Coturnix japonica: one gene and its partners. The protein of the gene in region 1 purifies or fractionates together with the protein of each later gene. This does not show direct contact. Links are inferred from orthologs where the notes say so. Each region holds a gene or a part of one and is shown in the gene's direction. Other genes may lie near its edges.

What was found. Proteins that work in one complex are often made in the same cells at the same time.
Region 2: the proteins of LATS2 (region 1) and LIMD1 purify together in Homo sapiens (affinity purification with mass spectrometry; 3 studies listed by BioGRID and IntAct, with this or other methods). This does not show direct contact. The link is inferred for Coturnix japonica from reciprocal best matches to the Homo sapiens genes LATS2 and LIMD1.
Region 3: the proteins of LATS2 (region 1) and AMOTL2 purify together in Homo sapiens (affinity purification with western blotting; 3 studies listed by BioGRID). This does not show direct contact. The link is inferred for Coturnix japonica from reciprocal best matches to the Homo sapiens genes LATS2 and AMOTL2.

What each region holds. Positions count from the first base shown.
Region 1 is NC_029516.1:159,847,223-159,851,085, forward strand, and holds part of LATS2 (serine/threonine-protein kinase LATS2), read left to right. Parts: coding exon 1-1,487; intron 1,488-3,863. UniProt on the Homo sapiens protein: Negative regulator of YAP1 in the Hippo signaling pathway that plays a pivotal role in organ size control and tumor suppression by restricting proliferation and promoting apoptosis.
Region 2 is NC_029517.1:39,419,822-39,424,480, reverse strand, and holds the start of LIMD1 (LIM domain-containing protein 1), read left to right. Parts: upstream 1-1,664; 5' UTR 1,665-1,888; coding exon 1,889-2,993; intron 2,994-4,659. UniProt on the Homo sapiens protein: Adapter or scaffold protein which participates in the assembly of numerous protein complexes and is involved in several cellular processes such as cell fate determination, cytoskeletal organization, repression of gene transcription, cell-cell adhesion, cell differentiation, proliferation and migration.
Region 3 is NC_029524.1:3,377,384-3,381,911, forward strand, and holds the start of AMOTL2 (angiomotin-like protein 2), read left to right. Parts: upstream 1-1,533; 5' UTR 1,534-1,665; intron 1,666-1,778; 5' UTR 1,779-1,830; coding exon 1,831-2,504; intron 2,505-3,657; coding exon 3,658-3,889; intron 3,890-4,528. UniProt on the Homo sapiens protein: Regulates the translocation of phosphorylated SRC to peripheral cell-matrix adhesion sites. Required for proper architecture of actin filaments.

The sequences.
Region 1 (3,863 bases):
CGAGCGAATCTTTTCCGTCCTACCATCAGATCAGTAATGCAGCCTATGAAGGGACAGGCTTTGCAGCTGAAGGTGCAAACATGCTGACTGAAGTCCCACGGCCATACATGGACTATTTAATCTCTGCTTCGCAGCCTACTGCTATGAATGCGCCTGTACAGCGACCCTCTGGCGTAGGCACTCACAGCACACCAACAAGCCATCAGCAGAAAACATACCCTGCAAGTATTGAATCTTCTGTGATTAATTATCCTGTGTCTAATCACAACAGCCCAGCCTTGCAGCTGCAGGCCTCCCATGGCTCCAGCAGCCAACATTACAGTAGGCAGCACATGATGGTGCAGGGGGAACCCATGGGGTATGGTGTTCAGCGGAGCCCATCCTTCCAAAACAAGATGCAGCAGGAGGGAGGCTACGCCAATCTCCCAAATAAAGGGGCAGTTGTTCAGAATAATGCTAGTCATGCATTTCAGCAGGCACCAGCAAGCCTGTATATGTCACATTCTCATCACAAACAGACAAGTCCTCCCTCCCATCAAATGCACGTGATATCTAGAGGTCCAGCATTTGGTAACGATTTTTCAGACAGCCCACCACAAAATCTATTAACTCCATCTAGAAATAGCCTAAACATGGACCTCTATGACATGAATAACCCTCAAGTTCAGCAGTGGCAGGCAGCAACGCCTTCACGGCGAGATTCTTTACAAAACCCAGGAATAGAATCATCTCCACGGCAACACGTGTCCTTCAGACCTGATGCCTCAGTGCCAAGCAGAACAAACTCCTTTAACAACCATCAGCAACAACCGCAAGTGACCGTGTCTATGAGACAGGTTCCTCCAGGAAAACCTGATCCTTCCATTGCATCTCCAAATACAATCACAGCGGTCACATCTGCTCATATTCTCCAGCCAGTGAAGAGCATGCGAGTGATGAGACCTGAGCCTCAGACTGCAGTGGGACCTTCCCATCCTGGTTGGTTACCTGCCCAGGCACCGGCCGTGGATGGCCTAGAGATCATTGAACAGCACGTGCCAGCTGTTGGAGCAGCCAACGCCTATCAACTAGATGTGGATTATGGTAACCAGGAGCTGCGGTGTCCACCACCACCGTATCCCAAGCACTTGTTAATTCCCGGCAGCTCTGAGCAGTTTGATATCAATTGCTTATGCATGGGTGTGGAGCAGACCCTGCGTGTAGTCCCCAGTTCAACGTGCAATAAGGCTGAGGAGAACAGTGAGAGAAATGACAAAAACAGCAAAAACACTAAAGCTGAAAAACCAGGCAAGGATAAAAAGCAGATCCAGACATCTCCGGTGCCTGTGAGAAAAAATGGCAAGGATGAGGAAAAGCGAGAATCCCGAATAAAGAGCTACTCACCATTTGCTTTCAAGTTCTATATGGAGCAACATGTAGAAAATGTCATAAAAACCTACCAGCAGAAAATCAACAGAAGATTACAATTGGAGCAAGAAATGGCTAAAGTAATTATTATTTTTTTTTAATATAATAAATAGGGTCAAATTAATTATTACTATCTTAAGTCACTCAAAAAAAGGTATAAAGGCGAGTTCTCTGGGAAGTGATAATAGCTGTTCAACGCCTCCCTTTACCAGACTGTTTTCACTTAGAGGCCTGGGTGCAGATCTGGGAGACTGTTTGAAAAAGCTGAGACAGGATGTAGTATGTCCTCATACAAGAAAGTAAAATAAAGCAGGGGCATCCACAGTAGGAAAGTATTACGTTTGCATAGGAAAGGACTCAGCAGCCAGGTCTGAGACCATGGTAATACTGACAATACTTTCCAGCCCTTGAAAAAATCTGAGAAAGGCTTTCTCTTTGCTCCAGTTCTTCCTGCCTATTACATGATAGCAGCTGCTTATTCACCAAAGCCACAGTTTAACTTGGCAGTAGATTTACTATGCTATATTTTCCCTTGAATATGTAATACCTGACTGAAAGTTGTCTCTTGAACATATGTTAGTAATAATACCATGCAAGTAATCATCTCTTGGCCAGCTGAAATGATCTTGGGATCCTTGCTGGGATTTGTTCTAGGCGCGGGTCTCAGTGAGGTGCACTTTGAGAGCTTCATTCACGTCTCGTAGTAGCGCTCAAACTGAGCTGACTCACTGATAGGGCTGTCTGAAGGCAAGCTGCCAAGTTCTGATGATTGCTCTGGCAGTTCTGTTTGTAATTTTTAAACATGGAAATTTTGTATTTTTTCTCCCTTCAGGTGCCATTAGCTAGAATATGACTAGTCTACTTTTGTGTTTAAGGATAAGCTTTAATGAAAGCTATCATTAATACATGATGGGTAATAACTTACCTGACCTTCCTTAGAACTGGTTAGGGTCAATTAATTTGATTCTCACATTGCTCTCCCTCTATGGAAATATTCAAGACCTGTCTGGTGCATATCTGTGCATCTGTTGTAGGGAGCCTGCTTTAGCAGGGGGGTTGGCCTCAGTGATCTCCTGGGGTCCTTTCCAACCCCTGTGATTCTGTGATTCTGCTCAAGAAAATCTGGTGGTTTGCTTGCCAAGGTTACATTTGATGCTTCTAAAAATCTCTTGAAAGGTCAATATAGTGGTGGTAGTTCATAGTTTGTCCTCAGTGCAACTATAGGTTGTGTTGCACTGCTTGGATTTAGTGAATATTTTCCTAAGACTGAGAAAGTTGGGGAGCAGTCTCTAAAGAAGTAAGAAAAGAAACTAATAGCATCAGTTCTGTTTTGGCCCTTCAGCTTTTGCTCACTTCATAACTCAAAGATAACTATAAACAAAAAACAGCTCCTTCCCCTAGCAACCTCATTTCTGGCTGGAATAACACACCACAAACTCAAGAGATTTTGGCCATCTGAATATCGCATTATTCTAGAATTAACCAAGAATACAACACAGTAATTGTTATGCGTTAAAGCAATAAACGCTTCCTTTAGTATGGATTGAGGTACCCTACCTGTTCTGCAAGTTTTTTCATCCTTAATTCACATGGATTTCATTTTTATGCTGTGGGGATCTTGCTGCTTATTCTGGCTGCCCACCTATCATCCTTAATGGCCTCGATTGCAGGTGTGAAATGAAAACTTCAGTCAAAGCAGCAGCCTTATGGGTGAATACTTAAGGGGTCTTTAGCCTGCTTCTCAGTCAGCTTCATCTCCATCCACCATTTCCCCCATTGCCTCTTCCCATCACTCACTCTTCCTCTCAAAATGCTTATTTTCACTTATTTCAGTTCAAGATAAATGTTATTCAAAAGGAGGGGGGTCTGCTGCAGACAGGGAATTCTGAGGATCCTGGAAATCAGCGCAGGGGCTTCTGCTGGTGAAGGCTGCTCGTGTTCTCAGACAGGCACTGAAGGCAGAATTGTGCAGGCTCTGTCTTGAAGCATGGGGGAAGTCCAGCTGGTTAATTCTCCCCCTTTCCAGGAGATGTTCCCCTTCAGACATGTGAAATGTTACTTTTAATTACCGTAAGACTCTATGGGGACAGAAGGTGTCTGGACAAGCCAGCTTTGTTACTGTTCAGGTTCAAAGGGAAAAAACATACATTTAAAAGAGAAATAGGATCTGGATCTTGGCTTCAGTGTATGGGAGGAGGCCAGAGCTGAGGGTTGTATACATATATTTTGGGAGGGAAGTTAGGGATCTGCCAAGTGTGAGAGTGGAGGTTCTGTACAACAGAGGAGGAAAAATGGTTTTGAAGAAAGAGGGTTCCCAAGATACTTTGTCAAAAACAGTTTCTTAATTGCTATGAAAAAAAGCAACTGCTCGGTAGGGAGGTTTCATGTGAGTTGCACTGGAGAGCTATTACTGAACCAAGGGTGCTGTTGTATCTCAGTTTAAGTTGTACTGCAGT
Region 2 (4,659 bases), on another chromosome or scaffold:
ACCGTGCTGGGTCAGGAGCCTGACTTCACCTGGTGTGCTGCACATCCTTGGGTGAGCAGGAGGGAAGAGGTGCAAGGGCAACGTATGATTGCCTTCTCCATGACTCTTTGCCTGTGCACACAACAAATTCCTCCCAGGAAAAAAGCAGTGGGGTTTATGCTGCCATCCATCTACTCGCTGTCGTGTTTTCTTATTCTCTCAAAGAAATGCAGATCTGCTGTTCAGTACCAATTCCGTTGCTTTATTGTTTTAACATTTAAAACAAAAGTGGTAACACCTGAAGCTGAGCCTGAGCATCTCTCTTCCTTGCCTGGAGCTCAGTGCAGCCAGCATTTTCCTTCCCGGCACAATCACACACCAAGGCTCAGGCTTTAGTTGCTCTATGGGCTTAACCTCATAGCTCCTTGGTTTTGATGGAGTACTCAAGAGTCAGTTACTTCTGTTGTCAGCCTCTGGTGGCTCTAGATGAAACCTGCTCAGCACAGAATACCTGCTGGGGCTGCCATGCCCTCAGCTCCTTATCCCCTGCCCTGTCTGACACAGCACAGCCTAGCAATCCCCGCTCTCAGAGCTGCCCTTACCTGCTTCTGGTCGTGGCCAACACAGTTCACACTTCAGCTGCTGATTTTTCTGCAAAGGGAACACAAAACAGCCCTGCCTGGGGATGCTTCTTCCCTCAGCCTCCTCAGGGCACAGCAAGGCTCAGAGAGGCCAGATAGAGGGGTTGGTTTGACAGAGGGAATTGTTTTCCCCTTGTGCCTCAGTGCTATCCATCACTTAGAAGCTCGGCAGGCAATGAAGGCCTCCTGAGTGATTTACTGCTGCTCCCCAGCCCCACTCTGTGAATCCAATGCTGTCAGCTTGGGCTGCGGTGGCTGTAACAGGTGACACGTTGCTCCCTGGAGGGGCTGCAGCTCACTGTAAGGAGTGTGCCATGTTGGGAGGGGGGGGGGCAAGCTGTCCCTGTTGCTAAGCAGAGTTCTTGCAAGGGAGCTGTTAGAAAGGGAGGGCATTATTTTCTGGTTTCTAACACAGTTTGGTCACAGCCTGATTCACAACACATTCCTTAACATCTGGGCCCTGTCCCGAGTGCTGGGGAAGCGTTACAAGGCTGAGCACACGCACCCCACCCTGCACCTTTCAGTGTATTTACTGAGGGGCACTGCAGCCCTCAGAGTCCAGAGCAGGGATTTGCTCAGTCTTTGGTTGGCCTGTCAGCCGGGGCAGGTCAGGATGGTGCTATGCTCCAATAAATGAGGGCGGCTCAGCCGGTGAGTGCATTCCTGCAGCTCCTGCTCCAGGAATGCAAACTATTTCCCTGGCAGCTCACAGCTCTGCCTTATCCTTGGCACTCACAACTCTGCTTATCGCTGGTGGTTCAGCCCTGGAGGATAGCAGGGCAGCAGGGTGCCGGCAGCTGGGCAGTGCCAAGCAGAGGAGATGAGGGAGCTCCCATCCTTGGAGAACTCCGTAAGTGCCTGGACGGGGCCCTCAACCACTCCAGTGCAGCCGCCCGCTCCCCACGCGCCACCCCACCCCATCCCGGCCGCACCGACGCCCCCGACCCGGCCTCGCCCCGCTCCCTCCGCCAGCATCAACCCCCGCGGGCCCCCAGGGGCCGCAGTGCAACGCGGCGGGACCGCCCCGCCGGCTCCGCCCCGGCCCCGGCCCCCGCCCCCGGCACGGCGGGCGGGACTGGCAGCGGCGGGAGGCAGCCGGGGCCGCGCCGTGACTCTGCCGCCGCCGAGAGCTCCGGCTTCGCGTCCTCTGCGCTGCGGGAAGAGGGACGGGAAAGAGGGGAGAAAGAAACTTGAGCCGGGCCGACAGCCCGCCCCGCACAGCGCGTCCCCGGCGTGTGGTGGTGGCAGCAGCCGGAGAGCGGGGCAGGATGGACAAGTACGACGACCTGGGCCTGGAGGCCAGCAAGTTCATCGAGGACCTCAACATGTACGAGGCATCCAAGGACGGGCTCTTTCGAGTGGACAGAGCGGCTGGCAACAACCCGGAGTTCGAGGAGACCCGGCGGGTCTTTGCCACCAAGATGGCCAAAATCCACCTCCAGCAGCAGCAGCAGCAGCAGCAGCAGGAGATGCTGATGGCCACCGCTTCCCTCAATGGTGGGGCTGGTTTGGGTGCACCACGGCCCGGCCTGCCCGCACCTCGTGGTGCCAAGCCGCCCCTGGGCTCACCCACCAGCCCGCTGCCCCAGGTGGCAGCTGAGGGCCCTGGCAGCGGGCGAACAGGCACCTGCAGAGCCTTCCCCGTGCCTGGGGAACCACCGTCCCCCAGCTCCCAGGCTGGGCGGCGCAGCTGGGAAGCGGAGCTTCGTGGAGACCCTCAGGAGAACGGTGGTGATAGCAGGAGGAGCAGCCAGGGCCAAGAGCTGAAGCCAGCCGGGCAGAGGTCCTCCTCCTTCTCACAGGTGCGTGGCCCTGCAGGTCCCTCAGATGGGGCGCCAGCAGCTGCTCTGCAGCACAGGTCCTCCTTCTCAGCCTCTGCGGCACAGCCCAGCCCCGGGCATTTGGCCCTCACCGAGCCCTGTGGGCCACAGGCCGGCGTGGATGGGCCAACCACAGATGGCGGCCAGCTGTGGTACCAGGGCGGCTCACGGCCCTTCCCACCCAGCTCTGCTCCTGGGGGGCCCAGCATAGACTACCAGCAAGCTGGCGTCCACCCCAGTCCCACCAGTCATTTTGTGGCCCATGGCCACAACCACCGGCCCAACGGCGGCCCCGAGCTGGGTACCTCACACTTGGCAGCAGCACGTGGGCCGTTGACTTCAGATGCACCAAAGCAGCCTTTCAAGGAGGGCACGAGCAGTCTCCATCCTGACAGCGGGCACCAGGAGGGCTGCGGCGTGGCCAAGGTGAAGTTGCCCTGCCAGACCCTCCAGCAGCCAGAGCAGGGGCCGTCTGCAGCTGAGCTGAAGCTGGAAGCACTCACTCAGCGCCTGGAGCAGGAGATGGATGCGCGGCCCAAGGCTGACTACTTTGGTAAGCACAGTTGTGATAGGACGTGGTGCGTGCCTAGGTGTGAGGTGGCTCCTTGCTGTGTGTGCTGGCAGGTTCATGCCTTCACATTGTGTGTCAGTATTGCTGCTGCTGGGTTATGGCTTTTCAGTTTCTTTCATATAACCATTACTCATCACAGGTAGAGGAAACTCTTGTTTCAATGTTTGTTTCTTCTTAATCTTTAAGTTTCATAGCGCAGATAGTGCAGCAGCCATGAGAGGACAGCGCTGAGCACCAGCCTGGAGCCTTTGGAAGTGTCCACCTTTGCTGGCTGGGAACTTCTTCCCTTCAGAAGGTTCTTCTCTTCACAACGTTCACCATTTTTCACGTGCTCAAAATATGTTACCTGAGCACGTTTGGATGGAAAGGAGCCTGCCAAGGAGCAGGATGGCATCACACCTACGTGCCATGTGGGGCAGGAATGTGGCTGGGCCCACAGGAGGCCATGGGGGTAACCAGGCCTACAGGAGGATGAGTGCTCAGCAGTACTTGCCCTGGAGGCTCCCACACGTGGCTGTGATGCAGTGGTCCTTGGATGTGTGAGCTGCAAGGGAGCTGCTTCTGGAATGGCCCTGAAGGAGCTGACTGCACACTCAGAGAGAAGCGCTTTGGATAGGAGGGTTTCCTGCAGTCAGCAGATTTTCTTTGCCCCAGGTGTCAGTTCTCATTGGCTTTCAAATGATGAGTGGGCTGTAAGTACTTGGGAGGAACAGTTGACTTGTGGACCAAAAGCTCTGGCAGGCCAACAGGTTTGTGTTGGTACTTTGTGATGGAAAGAGACCGCTTACATGTGAGGAGAACAAGAGCATGCTACCAAACTGGTTTAATACCACACATGGCAAAAAGTCATGGCTGAAGCGAGCGTTCCCTTCTGCTGCTGCTCTGTGATTCAGCAGCAGGGTGGGCGCAGCTGAAGGCACGCTGAGTGTTTAGTTGCAGATTGCATAGTAAGTGTGTTTCTTGGCATGGAGCAGTACATTCGCCTGCAGAGGGCTTTGCTGTGATTGTTTATCTCAGGGCATGAGATGGAGTTGAGCTTTGTGGCAGGCAGATAGGTTTCTGTCCCCTGGCAGAAAAGTGATGTGCCCTGCTGTGTTACTGGCTCGCCGCAGCCTGGAGGCACGCTCTGTTGGTCCTTCTCTGCCTGGATCAGGTATTTATCATGAGCAAAGTTTTGACTTCCTTCTTTATTGCTCACAGCAGAGCTGATATGCTGCAGGTACGTTAACAGGACCTCACACATCTCGTTTGGCAGCAGAGCACTGGGTTGCCCCCTCAGCATCCAGCAGCCATCTGCTCAACACAGCCACAAGTTTCTTTCCCTCAGTAGATGCAGAGCTGTAGGTGAGCAGCTCAAGTCCCATTTGGACCCGGAGCCCCAGTGCATACAGGTGGGTGGAACCAGTCACAAGTGCAGCAGCTCCGCTTGGAAGCTGTGTGAGCAGTAGAGCTGGTGTTGTGCATTGTGTTGGGAGCACGCCGCAGCACTCCTCATGGGAGCTCAGCTGGGTCTGTAAAGCAAAAGTCTCCAACAAAAGGAAAGAAAGAAGAAGAAGGAGGTCAGACAGAGATCAGTAGATATCCCAGCCAGGATGCTGTTGCAGTGGGGATGAAAGTCATAAGGAGTCTCAGTTGCTTTGCACTGAAG
Region 3 (4,528 bases), on another chromosome or scaffold:
CATTATCCATTTTGTACATCCTTCCACTAAAATTAACACTGGTTCTGCCTGTTCATCTCTAAAAGGAGATACCGACTCATCTGATATCTAATCTCACAGCTAAGAGGATCTGAAGCTCCGGGATGGCTATTGGCAGTCACAAGCATTCCGAGCATCTCGCCTTTGACACAGCACCGCACATCTCCATCTCCATCTCCAGCCCCTGCATCCCTTCCCTGCACAACAGCCAAGTCTGGGCTTTGTGGGCTGCTTTCACCTTTCCACGTGCTTCATCTTCTGATGGGAAGCAGTGGGTCTGTGTGGGTCTGTGGATGGGGAAGGGCTGTGTGAAGAAGCCAGCAGCTGGTCAGGCTCGTCCAGGGGGAGCATGGAAAGGTGGAAGCTTCCCATATCTGCCGTGTTAGAAAGAAAAAGAGGAGCAGAGGGCTTTTCCTCTTCAGATCACTTTCCAAAGTGCTGTTATCAGCCCAGGAGGGGTTTCCTGCTGCCAAAAATAGAGCGGTGTGGAGATAGGAAGGGAAGCGGGATGACGCAGGCATAGATAAGGCTGCTGGATGAGCCGGGGGGGCAGCTGGGACCTCCGGCATGCTGGGTGCCCCCATCCCACTAAGAGACCCCCGGTAGGGTTTGGGATCTCGCCCACACCTGCTCTGTGTCCAGGGCTCGTTTCTCAGCCCCGTTATCAGTCAGTGAGCGGCTGGGTGCTGAACGTCAGCCCGATACCTCCATGGTTGGGGGCCGGCAGGGGAGGCTGGCCGAATTTCAGGTTGTGCAGCGTGCATCTGTGCCTCTGAAGGATGCAGCGGTGTCTGGCCGAGCAGAGAGCGTTACCCACAGCCAGTCCCTTTCCTCCCCCCAGACAAAGCCCCCCAAAGGATGGCAAAAGGAAGAGCCCGTCGGCGCGCTCCGGGCTTTGTTCGGCCTTTGGAAGGTGCCAAATTCCCTCTCTCAAGAATGAGAGCTTAATGTCCCGTATCTAATTAGCAATTTTCCCTGCACCTGCTCCTCGGCCGCCCCTCGGACCATCTGCCGTCTCGGGGCCCCGCGGGCGGACGTGCCCGGCGCTGGGGGTCCCGCGGCTCCTCCGCTGCGGCCGCACGACGGGGAAGCGGCTCCGCAAAGCCGGGCAGCCCCGGGCTCCGTGCCGCGGGTCCCGACCTGCTGCACCCCACAAAGGGAAGGAGCAAAGCACGCGTGTATCCCGCACGAGAGGCGGGGGTCGGGGGGCTGCGCTGGGGAAGGGGAGCGGCGCTGGCAGAGGGCAGAGCAGATGGGGCCGCGGTTTTTTTTTGTAGGGCCGGGAGACAATGGCGCGTCTCTCGGGGCCGGGATCAGGCACGAAGATTTATGCAGGCGGGCAGCTGGCGGGCACAGCCTCGGAGCCCCCCCGGGCGGCAGCTGCTGCCCCAACCCCTCGGCAGCCCCCGGCCCAGCGCCGACACCGACCGGCCCAGCCCCGAATGGCGGTGGGGCGGGCGCTGCTCCCCCTGGCGGCGGAGCGAGGACGGGGAGGAGGAGGAGGTGGCGGCGGGGCGGGGCGGGCCCGGCCCCGCATTCCGGGCATAGCAGCGCCCGAGCCCGGCCCCCGCTACCGGCGGGGCCCGCAGTCGGCAGTGGCCTCGTTCCCCGAGCGGCAGCACGGCCTCGCCGCTCCGCCATGCCCCGGTAAGTACCGCCGCCCTCCCCCCAATCCCCCGTCCCCGAGGAGCCGCACAGCCGTGGGGAGAGCCGCGTTCCTCCGGCCCCAATCCCGCTGACGTCCCCGTGTCCCCCCGCAGGTGCCCGCGTCGCTCGTAGAGCCCCCGGACGGACGGACGGAACGCGGCGGAGATGAGGACGGCGGAGGACTCGAGCGGGACGGTGCTGCAGCGCCTGATCCAGGAGCAGCTGCGCTACGGGAACCTGACGGAGAACCGCACGCTGCTGGCCATCCAGCAACAGGCGCTGCGCGGCGGCACGGCCGGCAGCCCCCGCTCGTCGCTGGAGAGTCTGACCCAGGAGGAGAGCCAGATGGTGCCGCAGTCCGCCCGGCAGGAGCCGCAGGGCCAGGAGCACCACGCCGACCACCTGTACAACGAGCACGGCGGATACCGCCCGGCACAGCCCCAGCACAAGGGCGAGGAGCTCCCCAGCTACGAGGAGGCCAAGGCGCACTCGCAATACTACGCGGGGCAGCGGGCAGGGCAGCAGCACGGCGGCACCCGACGCCCCGACGACGCCCTGAAGGAGCTGAAGCACGGCCACGTGCGGTCGCTGAGCGAACGGCTGATGCAGATGTCGCTGGAAAGGAACGGGGCCAAAGCGCACGGCCCCATCAGCTCGTCCCACAGCTTCCCGCAGCTCTCCCGGCAATACACCCTGCGAGGGCAGCGCCCCGAGGGAACGGAGCCTCGCGGGCCTCCACCGGAGTATCCCTACATCCTCCCCAGCCAGGAGGCGGCCGTCGCTTACCTGTCCCGGCCCTGCTCCCGGGACGGGGCCGGCTTCCAGCACCCCGAAGTCAGGTAACCCACAGCCCTCGCCGCTTCTTGGGTGCTGGTTGGCCCCGGTTTGCCTCGGTTGGTTCAGGATTTCCATCCGGCAGTGAAAACTCCGCTGCTCCGGGAGGGATTCGGGGTTAATGCAGGAGTTGGAGGCAGGTCAGGAAATGGCTAAATTCGGAACAGGCGTGAGCCAGCGTGGAAGGAAAATGTGCTGCTCGGAGTGGAAAAAGCTGCCTGGCCTCCCCGGCTGAGGGTGCCCCCGGCCCCGTGCCTTCCAGCAGAGTGTATGGGAGCGCTGAGCACTGCTCCTTCCTTCCAGCCCATTGACACCTCCAGCAAAACCTGCCTCTGCTTGGAGGTCTGTGGGTGTGGAGATTTGGGCATCTCCTGGTGCTCAGGGAAGGCTGGGAAGTGTGGTGTTCTGGCATGGAATTGCTATAGGCAGGAGCTCCAAGCTGACTTACCAGGGCAGGGAGTGATAGCATTTCTGGCAGGAAACAGCTCTCCTTCCAGGGAACAAAGAGGGGAAGCAGAACTGTGAGGAAGATGCATTTGTTCTTCCTCGCTCCTGGATCACCCCATAGGAATGCAGGCTCCAGCACGGCGGCCACATGGCTCAGGATGGCTGAGGCAGCCATGGGATGTCGAGGAACTCTGGGTGATAGAATGGGGTTGTATTAACAGTGTGGTGGCAAGGCTTGGAGCCAGGAGCCCTCTCCTTGCCCAGGAAACCATGAGGAGAAGTGGTAGTGCTGCAGGTTTCCAACATACATCTTTGCTGAGGGTTTTTCTTGACTGCATCACCCAGCAGCAGGGTGGTACTGAGCCCCCCTGACCCCCCCCCCCCGGCCTAGCAGTCAAGTCCTGATGTTCTCAGGTGCTTAAATCCTGGGTGTGGAGGTGCTCAAGCTGCAGGCAGTGCTGTCAGATGGGGTTTCCTTCGTATTTTGTGTGCCCAAAGCCAACCCTTCCCAGCTGTGCAGGGCAGGTTGAGCACTCATCCTCCTGAGCATGACCCATGGGCACCCAGCACCTCTTTTGTCCAAAGGTGCTTCAGGAGCTCTGCGTATCCACACGGGTTGGTTGACAGAGGAGAACATGTGGGCAGGGTGCTTGTGGTGGCCAGTGTGTCCATCCCCATGAAGTGGCTGAGCACCCCTCTCTTTCCCCCCAGCAGGCTGATGCCAGCACCCGTCCCCGCAGCGTTCCTGCCCTCACCGAGCACGCTGGGCTCTCTCAGCCCTGCTGGTGTGGAGGCCCTGGTGAGTGCACAGGCGGCCTCAGCTGGCAGCCGGCTGGCCCAGGTGGATGCTGTGATGCGGGAGAATGAGAGGCTGCTGCTGGACAATGAGAGGCTGCGACGGGAGCTGGAGAGCTGCACGGAGAAAGCCAGCAGGATCCAGAAGGTGAGCTGGCCTTTGCTTCCTGTCAGCACGCTGAGGATGCAGGACCCCAGCCCTGCTGGTTATTTGGGATGTGGGCAATGGGTGCAGATGCTCAGCCCACCTCTGCTCCCACCCAGCACCTCACCCACCAGCATCCATCCCTTGGGGGGAAGGGAAGGGCTCATTGACCTCCTGCCGTGTCACGGGCAGCAGGTTTAGGCTGAGAGCAGGTACACCTGGAAATGGCCTCATCTGCACAGTGCGGCTTTGTCCCTTGTTTTTGAGCGAGCTCGTGCATTTGCTTCCTTGCCGCCTGGGGCAGGATCAAGCAGCTGCTGTGAAAATTCACCCCCTTTTGTGTTTTAATCTCTGCCCCCTCCCTCCGGTGGCTGCCCCCCACAGCAAGCAGCTGCGCTTTGGTGGCAGCACGGCTCCTTGGCCAAGTGTGGAAGAGAGGGGAAAAAGAGCCCATTCTGAGGCTCCAGTAGCACTCAGGCTGTCTCCACCCGCCCCAGGAGCGTGCCCGGCCACCACAGAAAGCCCTTTGTACAGCTTTGCACAAGGACAGGGCTGTTCCCTGCTGGACAGACGGACACTGGGAGGCACCGGGAGAAGCTGGGCCAGCCCCGGGGGGCCATAGTCAGCCAAATCCATGCTAAG